Linked DNA regions of Arabidopsis thaliana. The protein of the gene in region 1 interacts with the protein of each later gene in a pairwise test. Each region holds a gene or a part of one and is shown in the gene's direction. Other genes may lie near its edges.

Region 1 (6,607 bases):
CGTTGTTTTAAGTCTTGATTTTGGTGTGTTCGTTTTCCTTGGTGCAGCTGATTATAGGAATGAGACCGAAGTTGGTGATGCTCTTACAGAAGCATTCAAGACTGGTCTGGTTAAGAGGGAGGATCTCTTCATTACAACCAAGGTCCAATCGAAAACTATACAGCTATGATCTCAATTTAATGTGAGCAAGCTCTGATCTGTGATCTGAATTGGTTTTTTGCAGCTATGGAATTCAGACCATGGCCATGTCATTGAGGCCTGCAAAGACAGTCTCAAGAAACTTCAACTTGATTACCTCGATCTCTTCCTCGTTCATTTTCCCGTAGCAACGAAACACACCGGTGAGGCCTCTGCCTCATTAGCGTTTTATTAGTCTAGAGTCAGAGACCATTGCATTTCGTTTTATTACAAGTCCTCCTTTTTCACTGACTGAGATCAAGTTTTCTTAAGTGTCTTCTATATATGCTTTGCAGGAGTAGGGACAACCGATAGTGCTTTGGGCGATGACGGGGTATTGGACATAGACACGACCATCTCTCTGGAAACTACATGGCACGACATGGAAAAGCTTGTTTCTATGGGTTTAGTCCGCAGCATTGGAATCAGGTTCAACTTCTCTCACTATCATTACAAGTTCTCTTGTTTAGTCGCCAATATATGAATTTTTTGACCATTAGGTTTTTTGCAGTAACTATGATGTCTTTCTAACGAGAGATTGCTTGGCTTACTCCAAGATCAAACCTGCTGTGAATCAGATCGAGACACATCCTTACTTCCAACGTGATTCTCTTGTCAAATTCTGCCAGAAACATGGTATCTGTGTCACTGCTCATACTCCTCTCGGAGGTGCCACAGCCAATGCCGAGTGGTTTGGCACCGTGTCATGCCTGGATGATCCAGTTCTCAAAGTAAGCCCCATCCTCTAAACCTTAAAAGTTTGGATTGAACCTTTGACAATTAAAAAAGGACTGCGTTTATCTGAATTCTTAGGATGTGGCCGAGAAGTACAAAAAGACAGTGGCACAAGTTGTCCTGAGGTGGGGAATCCAGAGAAAAACGGTGGTGATACCAAAGACATCAAAGCCTGCGAGATTGGAAGAGAACTTTCAGGTTTTCGACTTCGAACTATCGAAAGAGGACATGGAAGTGATCAAAAGCATGGAGAGGAAATACCGCACGAACCAACCAGCCAAGTTTTGGAACATTGATCTCTACGCTTGATCACACTCTCTCTATCTACATGAATAAATGAAGCTTAAGAAGATAAACAACGAGAAGAAGCCATAGCTTTACCTGAAACATTCTCAAATGTTTGTGAGCCTATCTTTCATACATAAACTCATGTTGTTAAACAGATTATGATTTCTTAAGTACTACAATATCACACATTGATGGAAAGTGATATAGATTTCTCTCTTCTCTATTTATATGCTTAAATCCACAATGAATCATTATTGTAACTGAAAGAGGATATTTAAAAAGACGAGTATACCCTTGATTTCTCTTGTTTAGTAGTAGAGAAGAGGGTAATTTGGTAAATGACGAAGTAAGTACATTGAGCTTCTTCGCGGACAGAGACACTATCTCTCTCTCTCTCTACCCTTTGGATCTTTCTTCTCGATCAATTATCCATTTTGCCCAGATTTTTTCCAGAAGCTCATCGAATTCGTAAGCTTTCGCGCCTTTTCCTCTCTTTAATTTATTTGTTAATCAATTTTGAATGTGTTGTATCTCTAGGGTTTATAATTTCAGTTTCACCCTTGTTTTCTATTGTTTCGCGGAATAATCTCTTGTCATGGAAGGTTTAGATTGATTCGACCTTTTTGATCTTGACCTAATTTATTCCAATTTTCGTAAAATTGTTCCTTAAGACCTGTTTCTCTGACTAGCTCAGATTGATTTTGGTATCTGAATCAATTGCGGAACCCTAACTGGCAGATCAATTCGAGAAGTTTTGATTTTGTTTGAAGATAGTGAATTGCGAGTTCAGTGTGCTAATATCTGCTTGTAATTCTTACTCTTCAATTGTTTTCATAGATCGAATCACAATGTTTGAAATTTGGTTTCACTGTTGCTGAGTGTGTTTGGAGGAGAAGCTTGATTGGTTCGGTGTTTCACTGTTTGAAGATTATAAGAGTTATGGAGAATGGTGGTCAGTATGATAATGCGCGGTTCAAGCCCGATTACTTCAAAGGTGCACAATCTATGGTAAGACTTAAGATTTTTGGTTTCCTAAAGATATGTTTTTGTTAGTGTGATTGAAGTTATATAAGCAAAGAATGTTTGTTACAGTGGAATATGATTCCCCAGCATCAGATTAAGGAACAACATAATGCGTTGGTGATGAATAAGAAGATCATGTCCATCCTTGCTGAGAGAGACGCTGCTGTACATGAAAGAAATCAAGCTGTCTCTGCTAAAAAGGAAGCTGTCGCTGCTCGGGACGAAGCGCTTCAGCAACGTGACAAAGCTCTTTCTGAGAGAGATAAAGCTTTGATAGAGAGAGATAATGCTTATGCTGCTCTTCAACACCATGAAAATAGTCTCAACTTTGCTTTGTCTGGTGGGAAGTGTGTTGATGGAGATGATTGTTTTGGTATTGGGGAACCCCACAAACTTGAAGTCTTCCCTTTGTCAACTATTCCGCCTGAGGTTACAAACACGAAGGTGGTGAACAAAAGGAAGAAAGAGAACAAGCAGGGACTATCAAAGGTGAAAAAAGTGGGTGAAGATCTGAACCGTCGAGTTCCTGCTCCTGGAAAGAAATCTAGAACAGATTGGGACAGTCAAGATGTCGGTTTGAACTTAGTCACCTTCGATGAGACGACAATGCCTGTACCCATGTGTTCGTGCACAGGCTCTACGCGTCAGTGTTACAAATGGGGAAATGGCGGCTGGCAATCGTCTTGCTGCACAACCACCTTATCCCAGTATCCATTACCGCAGATGCCAAACAAGAGGCATTCTCGGATGGGCGGTAGGAAAATGAGCGGAAACGTTTTCTCGAGATTACTCAGCCGTTTATCAGCAGAAGGATATGATCTCTCGTGTCCTGTTGATCTTAAAGACTATTGGGCTAGGCACGGGACAAACCGCTACATCACTATCAAGTAGCCTCTGTTGTTTACACAGTCCAAGTATGTTTCTCTCGTCTTCTTAAGATTAGGTGTTGTCTTTGTCTTTATTGTCCATAGTTTGTTCTTTGTTGTGTATGGTAAAACCATTGTTATGTGTATCTTTTGGATGGGCAAAAATGGTTTGCATAAAAAATCTGTGTTTTGACCTCAAAAAATAAAATAAAATCGTAACAGTTAAAAATCAAAATCTGTTACCCCTTTGATAGCAAAATCTGTTACCCCTTTTTTCTTTCACTTGTTAGTTTCTTTTTATACCGAGAGGAGAGAACAAAAAATAAAACACAAAGTAAGCATAAACAACAACAAAATGATGGAGAAAGCCACAGTGGCGCATGTGGAGACGCATCAACGGTCACAAGAGATATGGTTTCTTGGCGCCGCAAGAGCCTTCTTGCAAATTCCGAATCCGGGGATTGTCAAAGTTTTTGTCCTAAGCAGCTTGACTACATTCACCTCAGGAATGGCTTTAGTCATTGAGTGGATCTGTCACGGAAAGAGTCACACGGGATTCGGGTGGATCATCTACTATGCATTGTTCTTGATGTGTCTTCCTCTTGTCATCTTGATCGGTCTTCATATTCTCGTCAGGCGCGGCTCAGATCAGATTGTGGATTCAACTCCAAGCAAAGAACCGTGTGTGGTGCAGAATCAGAGTACCGAGACGACTAAACGAACTGAAGAAACGGTGAAAAACAGCTGCCAAAGTTTAGCCGTTGTGGTTGCTCCGGATGACAAGAAGATGCCGAGGATAAAACGCGCAGTGTCATTCCCGTCTCACGGCGAAGTAAGATCATGTCGAACTCGTTAGCAAATTAAAACTTAGTGTGGTTCATTCAAAAAAATAACTTTGATGTGGTTAGCTATCAGATCGATTCAAGAATCTAATAATCTCTTTTGTGATATGTTTGTTATTCAGCATTTTATCTTTTCCAATAATCCAACGACCAATGATCTTCAAAAATTCGAATTACATCTTTCTTTCTTTTTTCCCCTCTTATGAGCTGAGTTCAATATATATATATATATATATATATATATATATATATATATATATATATATTGATGTACTATATATTGTTAGTTAAAAGCAAAAGATGAAAAAGTCTTACAATGGGTTTTGGTTTTTCTTTGAAATTTTGTAACAACCCAAGTAAAATACTAGATCCTCTGTTTTTTAGGGAAAGTATTTTTTGCAAAATTTTGAATTGCTATAAAGTAGAGTTTTGGAAAAACTAAAATAAAAAATCTTTACATTCAAGGTAAAAATCTCTACTTCTTTGAAATAATGCCACGTGTCAGTTCAGCGAGGAATAATATGTGTGAGTCTCATGGGTTGTTTGAGTCAATTTCGTTACCGGTTCTACAATAAGAAGTTACTTTGGCCCAAATAGAAAGAAATTTTACTTATCAAGTGGCCGAAAGGTGGCCCCAAAAAAACAAGGAAGTAAATCTACTAATGTACATTTGTCGCTACATAATTGGTCTAAGATAAATTACTTATATAGAATACTGTTATGGTGATTTACCCAATTTTTAGCCAAATGTGGTAAATTTAATTTCTAAACAAACTTACAATCATTTATAGTATCTATTAATTTATTGCTAACAACAATTATTTTTTCCAAATAAAAATACATTTTTTTTTACAAAATTTAATTTAGATTCACTGAAATATCTACAATTAAGTAATGTAATTTAATGTGGGTCCATGTAGTGCATAGAAAAGATTTACTAATTAAGTGATTGCTAAAATCAATAAATTAATAAACAAAAATAAAAATATTAGTTGATCAAAAAAAGGAGATATATGATATTTATTAATATAGCCAAAAAATAAATCTCACAATTACAATTAATCAAAGGACTACAAAAATATACAAAACTTTCTGTAAAAAATCAAACAACAATCATTTGTAAAATCCAACATTGGTAATTCTTCTAGAGATGAACCAAATGTATATCTAAATCAGAAAAAGAAAACAAACAATATTTATGTTCCTTGATCAGTCTTAAATAAACGTGGTAAAATAGTTCGATTACAACGAAATAAACGTGTCAATAACTCATTAATAAAACTGAAAAAAACGTGATAAAATAACTCACTAGAATAAATAACGCGGCAAAATAACTAACTAATGACTCGATAGCAAAACACAAACAATTTAGATTTATAAATTTTCATTGTATAACCTTACAACACAGTACAGTATAGCTTTTTATCTTAAAAATGTAAAAGCTGTTTTATAGAAAAAATAATTCAAATGTATAGATATAAAATATTTGAGACCATAAAAAGGGAAAAATCCTTAATTAAATATGAGGAGGGTGAAAAACATGAGACTTGTGTCCTTTCCTTAACCAAATATAAATAGGAGGGTCGTGCAATCTATTGAACCAGACAAAAAAAAACACCAATCATTTTCTCAGAGAGATTTCTTTTGTCAACTGTCCTTATCCATTGTTGAAGCTTGAGGTCTCCTCTCTTTTAACTCTTTATGTCTCTCTCAAGTCTCAACGTTTCAATCTTCTTCTTTTTTTTTGGTCTCCTTGTCTGCAACCTGATCAAAGTTTTCATAGAATTAATCTGAATATCACGATTTGATCATTTCAATTTTAGCTTTGGACTATTGTTAACTCTTTCCCATTTATGCATTCGATTTTTGATTTCTTCTTTAAGAAAAATAACAAAACTTCCATATGATTGCAGAAACTCCGATAACAACGATGAACGGTCGTGGAAATATGACTCAATACCAGCAGAATCCTTTCAGTACTGATGATGGTGGCCAGAGCACCGGCGTGTCACTCTCTTCCCGGACTTCTCTGTCACCACCACTGATCCGTTATCCAGCCGGGTCGCCGGACTTCAGCCCCGGACCACGGTGTACGACTCAACCGTCCCCTACCTTCTCCGACTTCACTCAAGCGAGTCCTTCACTGACGTCATTCAATAATCCGGCAAGCTTTACACCTTCGTTTAGCTTCTCCAACATTCACCAAATGATTCCTACGCCGTCGTCGTCCCATAACTCAAAGGCGTCGGTGAGCTCTGCTTCGTCGTCTAGCTTCTACTTTCCCCAGACGAGTCCTTCATCATGCTCTACTCCGTCGTCGTTCAGTCCAGACTCGTTTTCTCACTCCAACACCGGACCATGGTCGATCCCTCAGCCTTCCCCTGTGTTCTCATCCATAGCACCGGCCAGTTCTGCTCTGTCGTCGTTCGGTCCAGACTCATTTTCTCACTCCAACACCGGAACATGGTCGATCCCTCAGCCTTCCCCTGTGTTCTCATCCATAGCACCGGCCAGCTCTGCTCCGCCGTTGTTCGGTCGTGATTCATTTCCCCGCTCCAACCGCGGAAAAGGGTCGTTGATTCATAGGTCGCCTGTGCTTTCGGTCTTACCGCCGGCGCCTGTCTACTCCTCTAATCCGATGGTGAGATCATCTCCGCCGGGTCACCCATCTCCATC
Region 2 (6,803 bases), on another chromosome or scaffold:
TTATACTCTTTGCAATTGATCCAGCCGTATCCCTCGTGCTCTTACTCTTTGAATATGGCAGAGAGGTCGATGTCGCCGAGCTCGTAGAGCCTCTTTCATCCTTATCTCTCTTGCTAGCACTCTTCGAAATCGACGAAGGAGAAGATTGTTTGACGCCGTTTATCGGACTATTGCTTGTAGGAGACGAAAGTTTCTTTACAGATCCGAATAAATCACCTAAGGTTTGATCTTTTCCTCTAGGACTCGTGAAAGGTGACGTCATCGGACTGGTGTTGTTTGAGATGGGACGTGATTTCAAACCGTGGCTTCTCACTCCGCTGTGGCTGCTGCCTTCGTCTCTACGGCTTGTGCTTCTTGAGAAAGCAGAACGGCGGTTGGAAGAAGCGGAGGAAGAGAGGTACGTTGGTCTAGCTTGCGGCGTGTGGCTACGGCGGCTACTTGAGTTTGATAACAGAGAAGAACGACGTTTGAAGACGCTACTATCGTCCATGCTCTGTAGCCGGAGACCTCTCCGAGCAGCAATGAGATCATCCTCCTCCGCAAATTTCTCCTCCAAATATCTCCGGTGGATTGCCTATCAATTTTTACAAACAAAAATATTATTTTACTCTGTTCTCACGATCTCTGGATTGAAAAATGATTTTTTTATTTTACGAAACAGAGGTTTTCACAAACAATCCTCGAAGAGATAAAAAGAAGAAAGAAACGGAAATCCATAATGATATAAATCGAATATTTCGCCGTTTGATCATTGTTGGGAACAATTTATCTATTTCTACGTTATTCCATAGCAAAAATCATTGCTCAAATGTGAAAACGTAAATGAAATGATGATCAGAAAATAGCGTTCGTCACAATAAGAGAAGATGTTAATTAAACGTACGGAATCGGCATCGGAATGGGATTCGGATTTGCGATGAGAAGAAAGAGGGTGCAATTTGGTGACGAGGGACTTGTAGGCTTTGCATGCTGTCTTGGAAATTCCAAAGAAATCTGTAGCCGGCGAACGAGGAGTCCCCATTGCATACAGAACAAGAAGAAGATGATCAAGAAATTAGCGGAAAGAGAAAACAGAGAGAAAGATGAGGAAACTTGTCGTTGTCGTGTGTAGGGATGAATTAGATTATCAGACAGACGAAGAGCCGAGTTGTTTGGGAGAGCTTTTATTAGGAAATTTCTGTTTTTTTGTTTTCCGAAATAAAAATATTTTCTTAAGAAAATTTATAGGCTTTTCTTATTTAATTCCCCTTTGATAACTTTTTACTAGGAATTGGATGAGCATGCATCGACCCGGTTTGAGAGAGAATAATCAGAACCAAAGTATTGTACTTATCATGAGATTATGGATACACTCAAAAGATACATTTACCAGCGGTACATTTGTAGACTTGTATAGTTTATCGAAAGTGCATGAGCATACTGACATGAGAATAACGAATGATCCGTTTCGGTTGTAGCACAATCTTTGGTAGTTTTGTATGTTGCATAAGTTATTTTTATCCGCAATAGTGGATCCCCATTCCCATCAGCAAGCAATAATAACAACTCTACACGTAAAGAGTCTAATTTGATAATTTAGTCGACTGTTTAAAATGATATCTCTAGTTGACCTTTATTCAGTTTTCTCTTTTGTCTTACCGTCTGAATTTTTGTCCCATTAATTTTGTCAAAATTTTATAATCCTAGTACTATCTATTAATTTTGCTTTTTCAATTTTCCCACATTTAACATTAAAAACGAAAGTGAAACGTAGCCACTATGGAATATGTTTCATTCATCGTTAGTGTTGGCAGTTGCAGGTGGGGACAAGCTGCATTTCCATGTTGCTTCCAAAGTCAAACAGATCAAAGCAGCCTCTTTGACCAAAAGAATCCAACTTTTTTCCTCAACTTTCATGGCCGCCAAAATCAATCACTCACTTTCCACCACCAAAAAACCTCAGATTCTCCAAACCCATATCTTCGATTTCACCATAATCCAACATAAACATGCCTAACTCGATTCTCTTTCTTCTTCTTTCATTCCTGTATCTCACAAACTGCGTTGCTCAATCTCCATCACAAACTTGTCCTTTAGATTTCTCTCATGTCCTAACAATCCCATGGAACACAACAGATTGTCAAAAGTCCGACAAATCAGCCGATAGCAAGAACAGTTGTTGCCAATCTCTTTTAACTCTAATCGGAATCCCTCTAGCTCATCGTCTCAAACAAACTTCCAATTTCCGTCTCCCAAATCTCGCTACTTCAATCTCTTGTCTCAACAATCTCCAAACGAAGCTTAGTTCACTCTCTCTATCTTCGAATCTCACCTCTCTCTGTTTCGATCCGAATCAGTTCGTCATCAATAACGAAACCTGTGCTGGAATCCAAACGACTCAAGATTGGGTATCTCGTCTCGGTCCATCTACGGCGCTTGACTCCGCCTGTAGCAGTGGTCTCACTGATCTAACGCGATGCGACGCTTGCGTGGCGGCTGGGTTTAGGGTTCAAAAACAGCTCATCACTTTGGACGGTAATAGCTCTCACGGTGTTTATTGTTACCATTTTGTGGTTACTTACGCTGCTGGTATTGTTAACAAGAAAGGACCTGAGAGTGATGATGCTTTGTCTTGTCTCTTCTCTTTGAGTTTGAGATCTCCATTGAACTCAAAGAAGAAAAGACACACGGTGGCTCTTGCTTTAGGGATAACCGGAGCTATTTTCGGGGCTCTGGTTATTGCCGGTTTGATTTGTTTGTATTTCCGGTTTGGTAAAGCTGTTAAAGGAGGAGAGGTTGGTTGGGAGGATCAAGGGTCTAGACCGAAATGGAGACCAAACACTGGCTCTATCTGGTTCAAAATCGAGGAACTAGAGAAAGCTACGAATAACTTCTCGCAGAAGAATTTCATCGGTCGAGGCGGGTTTGGTTTTGTTTACAAAGGGGTTTTACCAGATGGATCGGTTATCGCGGTTAAGAAGGTGATAGAGTCTGAGTTTCAAGGGGATGCAGAGTTTCGTAATGAGGTTGAGATCATTAGCAATTTGAAACATAGGAATCTTGTTCCGCTTAGAGGTTGTAGTATGGTGGATGATGATAGTGAGAGTCAGAGATATCTTGTTTATGATTACATGTCTAATGGAAATCTCGATGATCACTTGTTTCCTCGAGGTGAGACTACGAAGATGCCATTGAGCTGGCCTCAGAGAAAGAGCATCATTTTGGATGTGGCTAAAGGGTTGGCTTATTTGCATTACGGTGTGAAACCCGCTATTTATCACCGGGATATTAAAGGTACGAACATATTGTTAGATGTCGATATGAGAGCGAGAGTTGCGGATTTCGGTTTAGCTAAACAGAGTAGAGAAGGAGAGTCTCATCTCACTACCAGAGTTGCGGGAACACACGGTTACTTGGCTCCAGAGTATGCCCTCTATGGTCAATTAACCGAGAAAAGCGATGTGTATAGCTTCGGGGTTGTTATATTGGAGATCATGTGTGGAAGGAAAGCTCTTGATCTGTCTACTTCTGGATCACCAAACACTTTTCTGATCACAGATTGGGCTTGGTCATTGGTAAAAGCAGGGAAAACAGAGGAAGCTCTTGAGCAGTCTTTGTTGAGAGAGGAAGGCTCAGGGCTCTCGAATCCGAAAGGGATAATGGAGAGATTCTTGCAAGTTGGGATATTGTGTGCCCATGTATTGGTTGCTTTAAGGCCAACAATATTAGATGCATTGAAAATGCTTGAAGGAGACATCGAGGTTCCTCCTATTCCGGACCGACCAGTCCCGCTCGCGCATCCTTCGTACCGTATGGACGGAAACGGATTCACAATATCGCCTGCGCTTAGCGGACTACAAATACATTCCGGAGATATGCTCAGATGAAAAAACTAGGCTCATGTGAGATTTTATTTTGTAAATATTTGAAAGCAACGATCACGTCTTTTGATTACATCATGTAAAACAATTTCAGAATGTTGTAGTATATCATAAGTAGGGAAAACATATAGTTCATTGTAGGATTATATTCTAAATCAAAGTAGAGGCGAAGGCTGAGATGCGGGGGTGAGGGCGGTAGCTGGTGGAAGCCTTCCGGTACAAGTGCAAAAGTTATTAAGGCACTCACATTTGGTGCAGTGGTTCACAGTCCTGCACCATCTTGACACTAATGGTCCTCTCGCCTCAGCCACCATGTAAAATTCTGCAACCATTCAAATTTGTGTTTATTTTTGTCCGTTGCAAAATTTATATGTATATAAATAAGAAGAAATTACATATTTTTTTTTTTTGTCAACAAGAAATTACATAGTTTGATACATAATGATTTGTCAAAGCATTTTCAACAGAAAAAAATCAGATACATATTTTACTATTAATTTTATATCTGGTAAATTCTATATTTTACAGTATACAGTACATTACACAATTTCCTGAATCAGTTGAATATAAAATGCTCAAACTAGCATAAATTTAAAACTTTCCAGCATTGGTAATACTCAAAAAAAAAAATCAATAACAAATAAATGTTTAGTTGTAATTCAGACACAACTTGAAACCCCAAAAATCAGACTGTGAAAATTTGTGTGCTCTTTTTAACTTTTAATTGCTAAAGTTAGTTAGTAATTTAAAACATTCTGGTTACTCACTTAGTATTAGTTATTACTGTGGTAACAACAAAATTTAATGATAATTGTAAAACTAACGGCCAATCGCATTTGCTGCTCTCTTCTTCAGCTACGCAGATCTTACGAGCACTTTTATATATTTGTCTTTCTTCCCGAAATACCCTTGTTTCGATTTTCTCACCTAAAACTCTTCCCCAAAAATTTGCAAATTCAACGACTCGTCTCGGCGATGATGGAACGAACCTACGGCCGCCGTAAGCCGGGGATTCCGAGGACCCTATCGGACTCTCTAAACGACTCTGTTTCTCAGACTGAGTATCTCTCTTCCTCTTCGTCGCCGGACATCGAGCCCATTGATTACTCTCTCCTTCCTTTCTCCAGTCAAGAGTCTTCCTCTCTCTGGCATTCTTCTTCCAGGTCAAATTTCAGAGAGGATTATCCACAGAACGGAGGTGTTGTACGGAGGGCGAAAAGAGTCAGGAACGGTGCTGAGGCTGCTGCTTTTACTTCCACTTTGCTTGAGGCTCAGGAGTTTGGTGAGCTGATGGAGCATGAGGATGAGGTTAACTTTGCGCTTGATGGGTTGAGGAAAGGACACCAGCTCAGGATCAGAAGAGCTAGCTTGTCCTCTCTATTGTCGATTTGTGCATCTCAACACCAGCGTCGCTCCTTGAGGGCTCAAGGGTAAGAAGCTTTACTCTTTTTTCTTAGATTTTTCGATTTCCCCCTTCTCTTTGGGGTTTGATTTTGTTCAATTCATGAGAAATTTTCCAAATTGGCATGTGGGTTTTCATTGTTTTCCGGTCTTCTAGATTAGGGCACGATTAGGGCCAACAAACTCTATGGTTTCGTTTTCTCTTCTCTGTATTTTTGGTTCTTGTAAATCAGATTTGTGATGGATTTGGACTTCTGAAGAGGATTAGGGCATGACAGTTTAGAGAATCTGGTTTGTAGTGGATTGGAATGGTGTATTACTGAATAGGGTTTGTATCATGATGCATGCGAGGTAAGGTTTTAGGACTATGTCTGATTCTCTCCCAAGGACTGGAGATTTTGTGTTTGTCCCATTAATTGATTCGTTGGTTGAGTCGATAAGAAGTCCTAGATGGATGCTGAGTCGTAAGTATCATGAAATCTCAGGAAAAGTTACCTAATTTTGTGGGAGCTTATTGTTTCAGGATTTCCCAATCCATAATTGATGCGATTTTGGTTCTTAGCCTTGATGATATACCAAGCAATCTTGCCGCAGCCACCCTTTTCTTTGCGCTAACTGCTGATGTAAGTGATTTGCAGATGCTGTTATGTATGTTTTTGATGTTTAATCTTTGATTCATTGACGTTTTTTTGGTTTCTTATTCACCATTTCACATTTTCCGTATATAACTTTACCAATTCATTTTCATGACTCCAGGGTCAAGACGAGCACTTTATGGAGTCACCCAAGTGCATCAAGTTTCTGATAAAGTTGTTGAAACCTGTGATTGTCACTAGCACCGAAGGGAAGCCACGCAATATAGGATTTAAGCTCTTATCATTACTTAAGGATGTTGATGCAGCACGGGATCCAGTGAAAATGGATGATCCGAGCTCCAGTGATATCCTCTCAAGAGTTCAGGAACTTCTTGTTAATTGCAAAGAAATGAGACTGAATGATAGCTATATAACTGAAACAACGAGGCCTGAGCTAAGTACAAAATGGGTAGCTTTGTTGGCCATGGAGAGAGCATGCGTATCCAAAATTTCTTTTGATGGTATTAGAACTTTTTGCCTTTTCTCCCGGAAGTAATGACTAGCTAACTATTTCGGAGATCATCTTAGAATCAGTTAGATTAGGTTATAGATGATGAAAAGTTCCTGTTCTCTCCAGTATTTATTTTGCTTCTCTAGGTTTATTTTAGCATAGAATTAAGGTGATAATATTATGATCTTTTGTTTACCCCCATCCAGATACTTCTGGTTCTGTAAAGAAGACTGGAGGGAATTTCAAGGAGAAACTGCGAGAACTAGGAGGACTTGATGCAGTCCTTGAGGTTGTTATGGATTGTCACGCTGTTATGGAGGTGTGAAGCTGTATGTTTTTTTTTCATCTGCACTGATATCTTTCGTAATATAGAAAGGTAGTCTATGATTGCCTAGGAGGTTGATAACTCGTATAAAGCATCTTAGATTGCTACTTTTGTGATTGTTTAGGTATTGT

What was found. Proteins that work in one complex are often made in the same cells at the same time.
Region 2: the proteins of AT2G21237 (region 1) and AT1G11050 interact in a protein complementation assay, tested with the Arabidopsis thaliana proteins (one large-scale study listed by BioGRID).

Annotation. Positions count from the first base shown.
Region 1 is NC_003071.7:9,098,022-9,104,628, reverse strand, and holds AT2G21237 (uncharacterized protein), read left to right. Parts: upstream 1-3,413; 5' UTR 3,414-3,444; coding exon 3,445-3,945; 3' UTR 3,946-4,093; downstream 4,094-6,607. Other genes in the region: AT2G21250 (NAD(P)-linked oxidoreductase superfamily protein), read left to right, coding at 48-142, 224-341, 474-606, 689-908, 991-1,221; BPC4 (basic pentacysteine 4), read left to right, coding at 2,140-2,208, 2,293-3,114; AT2G21235 (Basic-leucine zipper (bZIP) transcription factor family protein), read left to right, coding at 5,862-6,607.
Region 2 is NC_003070.9:3,679,904-3,686,706, forward strand, and holds AT1G11050 (Protein kinase superfamily protein), read left to right. Parts: upstream 1-1,984; 5' UTR 1,985-1,988; coding exon 1,989-3,866; 3' UTR 3,867-4,266; downstream 4,267-6,803. Other genes in the region: AT1G11040 (HSP40/DnaJ peptide-binding protein), read right to left, coding at 1-574, 884-1,021; AT1G11060 (WAPL (Wings apart-like protein regulation of heterochromatin) protein), read left to right, coding at 4,665-5,290, 5,785-5,884, 6,018-6,357, 6,554-6,666.